2 linked regions of the Saccharomyces cerevisiae S288C genome follow. The protein of the gene in region 2 binds, or shares a complex with, the protein of the main gene of each other region. Each region holds a gene or a part of one and is shown on either strand. Other genes may lie near its edges. A codon is read from its position in the direction of its gene.

The links. Proteins that work in one complex are often made in the same cells at the same time.
Region 1: the proteins of MFT1 (region 2) and THP2 are in contact, whole or in part, in a cryo-EM structure (PDB 7V2W), measured with the Saccharomyces cerevisiae proteins. Residues at the interface, in NP_013649.1 of Saccharomyces cerevisiae: His16 (codon at 3,231), Tyr17 (codon at 3,234), Ser18 (codon at 3,237), Glu19 (codon at 3,240), Asp21 (codon at 3,246), Phe24 (codon at 3,255), Asn25 (codon at 3,258), Tyr27 (codon at 3,264), Leu28 (codon at 3,267), Ile30 (codon at 3,273), Leu31 (codon at 3,276), Val34 (codon at 3,285), Thr35 (codon at 3,288), Leu37 (codon at 3,294), Thr38 (codon at 3,297), Gly39 (codon at 3,300), Ile41 (codon at 3,306), Ile42 (codon at 3,309), Leu56 (codon at 3,351), Thr57 (codon at 3,354), Glu58 (codon at 3,357), Ile61 (codon at 3,366), Leu64 (codon at 3,375), Lys65 (codon at 3,378), Ala68 (codon at 3,387), His69 (codon at 3,390), Phe72 (codon at 3,399), Leu75 (codon at 3,408), Gln76 (codon at 3,411), Ile79 (codon at 3,420); in NP_012037.1 of Saccharomyces cerevisiae: Tyr9 (codon at 1,756), Phe10 (codon at 1,759), Leu13 (codon at 1,768), Cys14 (codon at 1,771), Glu16 (codon at 1,777), Glu17 (codon at 1,780), Leu20 (codon at 1,789), Gln21 (codon at 1,792), Ser23 (codon at 1,798), Gln24 (codon at 1,801), Leu27 (codon at 1,810), Leu28 (codon at 1,813), Ile30 (codon at 1,819), Leu31 (codon at 1,822), Leu34 (codon at 1,831), Ser35 (codon at 1,834), Leu37 (codon at 1,840), Ala38 (codon at 1,843), Asp39 (codon at 1,846), Leu54 (codon at 1,891), Pro55 (codon at 1,894), His58 (codon at 1,903), Leu61 (codon at 1,912), Ser65 (codon at 1,924), Leu68 (codon at 1,933), Arg69 (codon at 1,936), Lys72 (codon at 1,945), Arg76 (codon at 1,957), Glu77 (codon at 1,960), Leu80 (codon at 1,969).

Annotation. Positions count from the first base shown.
Region 1 is NC_001140.6:437,611-440,627, forward strand, and holds THP2 (Thp2p), read left to right. Parts: upstream 1-1,731; coding exon 1,732-2,517; downstream 2,518-3,017. Other genes in the region: anaphase promoting complex subunit CDC23, read right to left, coding at 1-1,440; putative GTPase MTG2, read left to right, coding at 2,767-3,017. UniProt on the Saccharomyces cerevisiae protein: Component the THO subcomplex of the TREX complex, which operates in coupling transcription elongation to mRNA export. The THO complex is recruited to transcribed genes and moves along the gene with the elongating polymerase during transcription.
Region 2 is NC_001145.3:146,133-151,868, reverse strand, and holds MFT1 (Mft1p), read left to right. Parts: upstream 1-3,185; coding exon 3,186-4,364; downstream 4,365-5,736. Other genes in the region: DNA helicase PIF1, read left to right, coding at 337-2,916; 40S ribosomal protein eS1 RPS1B, read right to left, coding at 4,620-5,387. UniProt on the Saccharomyces cerevisiae protein: Component the THO subcomplex of the TREX complex, which operates in coupling transcription elongation to mRNA export. The THO complex is recruited to transcribed genes and moves along the gene with the elongating polymerase during transcription.

The DNA.
Region 1 (3,017 bases), on a different chromosome or scaffold from region 2:
CATGTCCAGGAGAGCATAAGCCTGGCCCAAACCAAACCATGCTTTGAAGTCTCGAGGGCATATATCTACGGCCCGACGATAGCATTCTATTGCGGCATGTGAATTGCTTAGTTCAACAAATTCGTGACCCATCAAAGTCCATGCGTTTGTTGTTTTTTTATCCAAAGTTAGTGCTCGACGGAAATACATGATAGATTTTTCATGTTCCTGTCGGGCACTGTAATAGTTCGCTATGATACAACATGTTTCCGGTCTAAATCTATCTATTTGGGAGACGAATTGCGCCAAATAGGCTAATTTTGAATTCTTCTGCATGACGTATAGAATATTGGAGTAGGTTTCCAAATCGTTGAGACGGTACGGATCTTGTTTAACGATGTCATCAAATCGGCTTTCTGCGGTAACATAATCCAAATTGTTGTAACTAATAGTAGCATTGTAAGCCTTTAAAAAAGTGAAATTGGGGAAAACTTGTAACAAAAACTCTAAATCTTCAAAGTAGTCCTCTAACTGGCCATTAAGCTCCTCAAACACTTTTAGCTTGAAAAATTTGATCATTATATTAAATTCTATCGTTCGTTGACTACCAAGATTTTCAGAAAATTTGAATTGGAAATTTTGATATAGATAATTATTTAAAAGCAATGCATCGTCAACCTTTTGTAAACAGTCCATTAACTCCAGCCAGCAGGACCAGTTAAAGGAGTAGCAACTCAGAGATTTCAAGAATGACGACATTGCCTTAGAAATATTCTTCTCTTGCTTTAAGATGACCCCTCGTAAATAATACAACAGTGCTAACCCTAAATCGGCCTCATCATCGTCTATCTTTATTTCATAAGACTCCAGAAATGTGTTAATTTCCTTCAAAATAGATGATATGTTCGATTGTGACTCATGCTCATTGCTGACCATTTTTAAATTGGCGCGTTGGTGCCCACTTTGATTTATATCCTCATTCCCACTACCATCCCCATCTTTGTTAGCTCTGTACATTTCGTCCGTAAACTTCCCTGTAGTTAAGATATTTTCCATACTTTCCTGGCTTTTCTTATCCCACGATAGAAATTTACTGTATAATTTTAAGAACTTAAGGTATGGATTAGTGACATCTTTTAGAAAAAAAACGCATCGATCAAACTCTTTAGCATCAAACAACGTAGAACCAAGGAGGTACAGGTCATACTCAGTCTCTGATAGGCCAAACCCGTTTTGTGGTATTTCAAACATCTGTTTCGGTACACCTTGTTTATTTCTTAGTGGCGATTCATCGGCTAAAGAGTGTGTTTGATCAACATCAATAGCTTCTGCAAGACCTGCTAGCGCCTCTGCTGCCCACTTTGAGGAGCCGTATAGCTTCCATCGTGATAATTCTGTGGCAGCCTTTCGTAGCTGAATACGTATATCATGTATTATTTTATCCTGGCTGTCGTCATTCATGGTTCTAAATGCTTCACAATCTGATTCTGATCAGTATATATCCAGATTTCAGTTTTCCGCTCGCTAATACTCCCTTCTTCCTCTTAATTTGATGTGAGTACCGCAGTACTTGGTCTGCTATTATGAAGTGTTTGTTTTACCCGAAGTGCTTTTTATGTACGCGCATTGAAAAATAATAGAAACTTGGTAAGTAGAATACTTAAGAAGCTGCAGAAGTGCAGTATCTTACAGTAAGAAACAACAGCGACTAGTTTATCAGGTTTACACTGCTCAAGTTATCAAGTTCATAGCATGACAAAGGAAGAAGGTCGTACGTATTTTGAATCTCTCTGCGAGGAGGAACAAAGTTTGCAGGAAAGCCAAACCCACTTATTAAATATTTTAGATATATTATCAGTATTGGCAGACCCTAGATCATCTGATGATCTGCTTACTGAATCCCTCAAGAAGTTGCCTGATTTACACAGGGAGCTGATAAATAGTTCCATCCGCCTGCGATACGATAAATATCAAACAAGAGAAGCACAGCTTTTGGAGGATACAAAAACTGGAAGGGACGTTGCAGCGGGAGTACAGAATCCTAAGAGTATTAGCGAGTACTATTCTACTTTCGAACATTTGAATAGGGATACTTTAAGGTACATAAATTTACTGAAGCGACTTTCTGTTGATTTAGCAAAGCAGGTGGAAGTGTCTGATCCATCAGTGACAGTGTATGAAATGGATAAATGGGTTCCATCTGAGAAACTTCAGGGTATTCTCGAGCAGTACTGTGCGCCTGATACTGATATACGTGGTGTAGACGCTCAAATCAAGAACTATCTAGATCAGATCAAAATGGCACGTGCCAAATTTGGTTTAGAGAATAAGTATTCCTTAAAGGAAAGACTCTCTACTTTGACAAAGGAACTAAACCATTGGCGAAAAGAATGGGACGATATAGAAATGCTTATGTTCGGTGATGATGCACATTCTATGAAAAAAATGATCCAGAAGATAGATTCATTAAAGTCTGAAATAAATGCTCCATCGGAAAGCTATCCTGTAGATAAAGAAGGTGACATAGTTTTAGAATAAGCACATTTTATTTAACCAGCCTGCACAAGTTAGATAGAGTTATACATACTTGTTGAGTGGGAGGGAAGAAAGAGAAAAATTGTATTATTTTTTAAAGAGCTTTTTAATATTTTATTTGTTCTATCTATTATTTTCACTTCCCCGAAATAGTACTGAAGGAAAAAACATGCTGGTTTATTTAGCGTTTAATAGGATGTGTACGTACTGAGAATATCATCAAGAATCAGTCCTCGGCCAGAGCATCTAGATATGTCGATAGCTTGGTCTAGCGTTTTCAAAAGAGAATTACGGCTTGAAAGATTTTTACCAAGAGTATATTCGACGAAAGTTCCTGATAATGCACCAAGAGCGGCTGACAATGAACAATGGCTAGAAACCCTAAGACCTATAACTCACCCAGAACAGAAAAAGTCCGACCATGATGTCAGTTACACAAGACACATTAATGTTCCTCTGGGCGAAGTCACTTCTGTCAACTATCTACAACGGTATAATAAGCA
Region 2 (5,736 bases):
GGTTGATAAATAAAATCGCAATTATGAATCAGGACGCTTCAAATGCCTTCTTCCGCTGGAAATAGTAGTTTTGTGATGCTGTTCAGCTCATCTCTTAAAAATTTTTGGCGTTACATTAAGAAAGGCGCGTCTTAATTTTCTTCACTTAATGTATAAACAAATACTTTACTTTTTAACCACGACATTATTCAAAGAGGAGAGTAACTTTAACGTTAATCAAATTGCTGTACTAAACTATTTATTTGGCCAGACATTGAAATACTGGTATTGCCTCGATATTTTTATTTGTAATATTATCCATTGAGCGATTAGCTTACTTGTATCAATCAATTTTACATGCCAAAGTGGATAAGATCAACATTGAATCATATTATACCAAGAAGGCCATTTATCTGTAGTTTCAACAGTTTTCTTTTACTCAAAAACGTATCGCACGCCAAACTATCGTTTTCTATGAGTAGTCGTGGTTTCAGGTCTAATAACTTTATTCAAGCACAATTGAAGCATCCTTCCATACTTTCAAAAGAAGACCTAGATTTGCTCTCTGATTCGGATGATTGGGAAGAACCTGATTGCATACAGTTAGAAACTGAGAAGCAAGAAAAGAAAATTATCACTGACATACATAAAGAAGACCCGGTGGACAAAAAGCCTATGAGGGATAAAAATGTCATGAATTTTATCAATAAAGACAGTCCTTTATCCTGGAACGATATGTTTAAACCCAGTATAATACAACCACCGCAGTTAATTTCTGAAAACTCATTTGACCAGAGCAGTCAAAAAAAATCGAGATCGACAGGATTCAAGAATCCATTAAGACCAGCGTTGAAAAAGGAAAGTTCTTTTGATGAACTTCAAAATAATTCTATATCTCAAGAGAGAAGTTTGGAAATGATAAATGAAAACGAAAAGAAGAAAATGCAATTTGGAGAAAAGATTGCTGTTTTGACGCAAAGACCTAGCTTCACTGAATTGCAGAATGACCAAGATGACAGTAACTTGAATCCCCATAATGGTGTGAAAGTCAAGATACCGATTTGCTTAAGCAAAGAACAAGAAAGTATCATCAAGTTGGCAGAAAATGGCCACAACATTTTTTATACAGGGAGTGCCGGTACCGGTAAATCCATTCTTTTACGTGAAATGATAAAAGTTTTAAAAGGCATATATGGTAGGGAGAATGTTGCAGTCACTGCTTCCACGGGTTTAGCTGCTTGTAATATCGGTGGTATAACCATACACTCGTTCGCTGGTATAGGATTAGGAAAAGGTGATGCGGATAAACTCTATAAAAAAGTTCGTAGGTCTCGAAAGCACCTAAGGCGCTGGGAAAATATTGGTGCTTTGGTTGTCGATGAAATATCAATGTTAGACGCAGAACTGCTTGATAAACTCGATTTCATAGCTAGAAAAATACGGAAAAATCATCAACCCTTCGGTGGAATTCAACTCATCTTCTGTGGCGATTTTTTCCAGTTACCGCCAGTATCAAAAGATCCTAATAGACCAACTAAGTTTGCTTTCGAATCCAAGGCTTGGAAAGAAGGTGTAAAGATGACGATTATGCTACAAAAGGTTTTTAGACAGCGAGGCGATGTTAAGTTCATTGACATGTTGAATCGGATGAGACTAGGCAATATTGATGATGAAACAGAAAGAGAGTTCAAGAAGCTTTCTAGACCATTGCCAGACGATGAAATTATTCCCGCGGAACTTTATAGTACCAGAATGGAAGTAGAAAGGGCCAATAATTCAAGGCTAAGTAAATTGCCAGGCCAGGTGCATATTTTTAATGCAATCGATGGCGGTGCTTTGGAAGACGAAGAGTTAAAGGAAAGGCTGTTACAAAATTTTTTAGCTCCAAAGGAATTACATTTGAAAGTTGGCGCTCAGGTTATGATGGTAAAAAATCTAGACGCAACATTAGTTAATGGATCCCTTGGTAAAGTCATCGAATTCATGGATCCAGAAACATATTTTTGCTATGAGGCGCTAACAAACGATCCATCTATGCCTCCAGAAAAACTCGAGACTTGGGCAGAAAACCCTTCAAAACTAAAAGCTGCAATGGAGAGGGAGCAAAGTGATGGGGAAGAAAGTGCGGTAGCTAGTCGCAAATCTTCAGTGAAGGAGGGATTTGCTAAGAGTGATATAGGTGAGCCGGTCTCTCCCCTAGATTCCTCAGTTTTTGACTTCATGAAGAGAGTCAAGACAGATGACGAAGTTGTGCTGGAAAATATAAAACGCAAGGAACAACTGATGCAGACCATACATCAAAACTCTGCAGGAAAACGAAGGTTACCTCTCGTGAGATTCAAAGCTTCTGATATGAGTACGAGGATGGTGCTTGTCGAGCCGGAGGATTGGGCGATAGAAGACGAAAATGAAAAGCCACTGGTATCAAGGGTTCAATTACCGCTAATGCTTGCCTGGTCACTATCCATTCACAAATCTCAGGGTCAGACACTTCCAAAAGTTAAAGTGGATTTACGTAGAGTATTCGAAAAGGGTCAGGCGTACGTTGCCCTTTCTAGAGCTGTTTCAAGAGAAGGACTACAGGTGTTAAATTTTGACAGAACTAGGATCAAAGCACATCAAAAGGTAATTGATTTTTATCTTACTTTATCTTCAGCCGAAAGTGCCTATAAGCAACTTGAGGCAGATGAGCAAGTGAAAAAAAGGAAGTTAGACTACGCACCAGGCCCTAAATATAAGGCTAAATCCAAGTCAAAGTCAAATTCTCCAGCACCCATATCAGCGACCACACAATCTAATAATGGTATCGCAGCGATGTTGCAAAGACACAGTAGGAAGAGATTTCAGTTGAAAAAAGAGTCTAATAGTAATCAAGTTCATTCATTGGTTTCCGACGAACCTCGTGGTCAGGATACCGAAGACCACATCTTAGAATAAGTACATATTAATACACATAGTTATATAGAATACAAACTGCTATAATAATCAAGGCCGAGATACATAGTTCCGCGGTTTTATCTGTATTTATTTTGATATTGGTTCTTTGACACCTTTTTATCTTTCTTTCTTGCGCTTTGTTCATTCTATTATTTTGGTGAACCTCCTTCGATAGAAAAAAGTGAAACATTATCTAAATTAAAGTAAAATACAACAACTGGCTGTAAAAAAGGAATCAAAGAACTAAAGCCAAAGGAGACTAACTCACAATGCCTCTGTCACAAAAACAAATAGACCAAGTTAGAACCAAAGTGCACTACAGTGAAGTAGATACTCCATTCAATAAATATTTAGACATCTTAGGAAAAGTAACCAAGCTGACAGGAAGCATTATAAATGGCACATTATCCAATGATGATAGCAAGATTGAAAAACTTACTGAGCAAAATATCTCCCAACTAAAAGAAAGTGCTCATCTTCGATTTTTGGATCTGCAGTCATCAATTGACACAAAGAAAGTAGCAGACGAAAATTGGGAAACATGCCAACAGGAGACATTGGCCAAGCTGGAAAATCTCAAAGATAAATTGCCTGATATAAAGAGCATCCATAGCAAGTTGCTTTTACGTATTGGAAAACTACAAGGTCTTTACGATTCTGTCCAAGTAATTAACAGAGAGGTGGAAGGCTTGTCAGAAGGCCGTACCAGCCTTGTGGTGACACGTGCGGAATGGGAGAAAGAACTTGGCACTGATCTGGTCAAGTTTTTAATTGAAAAGAATTATCTCAAACTAGTTGATCCGGGCCTGAAAAAGGATAGTTCAGAGGAGAGATATCGTATTTATGACGATTTCTCTAAGGGCCCAAAAGAGTTAGAAAGTATCAACGCCTCAATGAAATCGGATATAGAAAACGTAAGGCAGGAGGTATCGTCTTACAAAGAGAAGTGGCTAAGAGATGCAGAAATATTTGGCAAGATCACATCAATATTCAAAGAAGAACTTCTGAAGAGAGATGGCCTGCTCAATGAGGCAGAAGGAGATAACATTGATGAAGATTATGAATCGGATGAAGATGAGGAAAGAAAAGAGAGGTTTAAAAGGCAGAGATCAATGGTGGAAGTGAATACTATAGAAAATGTGGACGAAAAAGAGGAAAGCGATCATGAATATGACGATCAGGAGGATGAAGAAAATGAAGAGGAAGATGATATGGAAGTAGACGTTGAGGATATAAAAGAGGATAATGAAGTTGATGGGGAAAGCAGTCAACAAGAAGATAATAGTCGCCAGGGTAATAATGAGGAAACAGACAAAGAAACTGGAGTGATAGAAGAGCCAGATGCGGTTAATGACGCAGAGGAGGCAGATAGCGATCACTCAAGCAGGAAACTTGGAGGCACTACAAGCGATTTTAGTGCGTCTTCCTCTGTTGAAGAAGTAAAATGACCACGTATAATGCATAGCTCTTACTAAATAGAAAAGGCATATAGACACATAGGCAAGTTATTACAGTTCAATAGAAACCGAAATCGGTAACGTAAAAAATAACAACCATAAAAAGACAGTATTGGACAAAAGAGCAAGTTCTGTATGGTGCGTCACCTTCTTTTTTTTAGTAATAATTAATTATATTAATAATAAAGAGAAAACATATTAATAAATTGTGTACATGTCAAATCTTATAATTTATATTTATTTTGTTTACACAGTTTCCAAGACTTCATCCTTGAAACCAGAAACCTTCTTACCCTTTTCTTCACCGGAACCTTCACCATGCAAAGCCATCAAAGCACCAACGTCGAACTTTGGTTGTTTCAATAACTTAACCTTTCTAACGTGGATGTTTTGTAGTGGGAAGATGTCCTTGGTAGCATTTTCGATTTCCTTGTTGATAACTTCTGGAATCAATTTGGAGGTCAATTGAGCCAAAGTAGAGTTTTGAACTTCTCTGGTCAAGATTTCAGAAATAACTTTTCTGATAGCTCTGATGTGGGAAGATTGAGCGTAAGAGTGTCTCTTAACTTGGTTAGCTTGCTTTCTGGTGAAGGCAATAGCAAAGATTCTCAAAACGTAATCATCGGAAGTCTTAACGGTAACATTAGCTTCGATCAAAGTTTGCCATTTTCTGACCATTGATCTCAATTTGTCGGTAGTGAAGTCCATACCGTGGAAGTTGGTCAACAAGTTCTTACCTTGAACTTCATCGACTCTCAACTTGACCTTTCTGAAAGAATGGTCTTCAGAACCTTGCAAGTCAGCCAAACAAACTTCGACAACTCTACCCTTCAAAGCATCGGAAGCATTCTTCAAACCAGTGGACTTGTTAACTAAAGTCTTACCAACATTTCTGTTTTCAAAAGTGGATGGGGCTTTAATATCGAACCATTCCTTTCTGGTAAATGGGTCAACGACCTTCTTCTTCAAACCCTTCTTACCTCTGGATAGTCTCTTATTCTTACCAACAGCCATGATTAGTCTAGATCGGTTTTTTGCTTGGTTTCCTCAAAGGCGAATACAACTAACTAAGTTCAAATCTGCTACCACTCACATATATCAAAATACCACTACTAACTATACATTGGAACTCACTAATGAGGACACTGGTATTGTGAAACTGTGTTACGTTCAGCGTGGCAATCATCACTCCGGCCTGGAGAGTCCAGCCGGCCGAGGCGGCTTCACACCGGCACCACCTTGATTCCACACTGGATCTACCGCGTCCTTCCCATTTACTCAGTAGCACTTCTACCGGACATCCATGCTGCTCTTTTTTTTTCAGTGGAGCTCCTGCAGGAATAATTCTTAGTAAAATTCATAA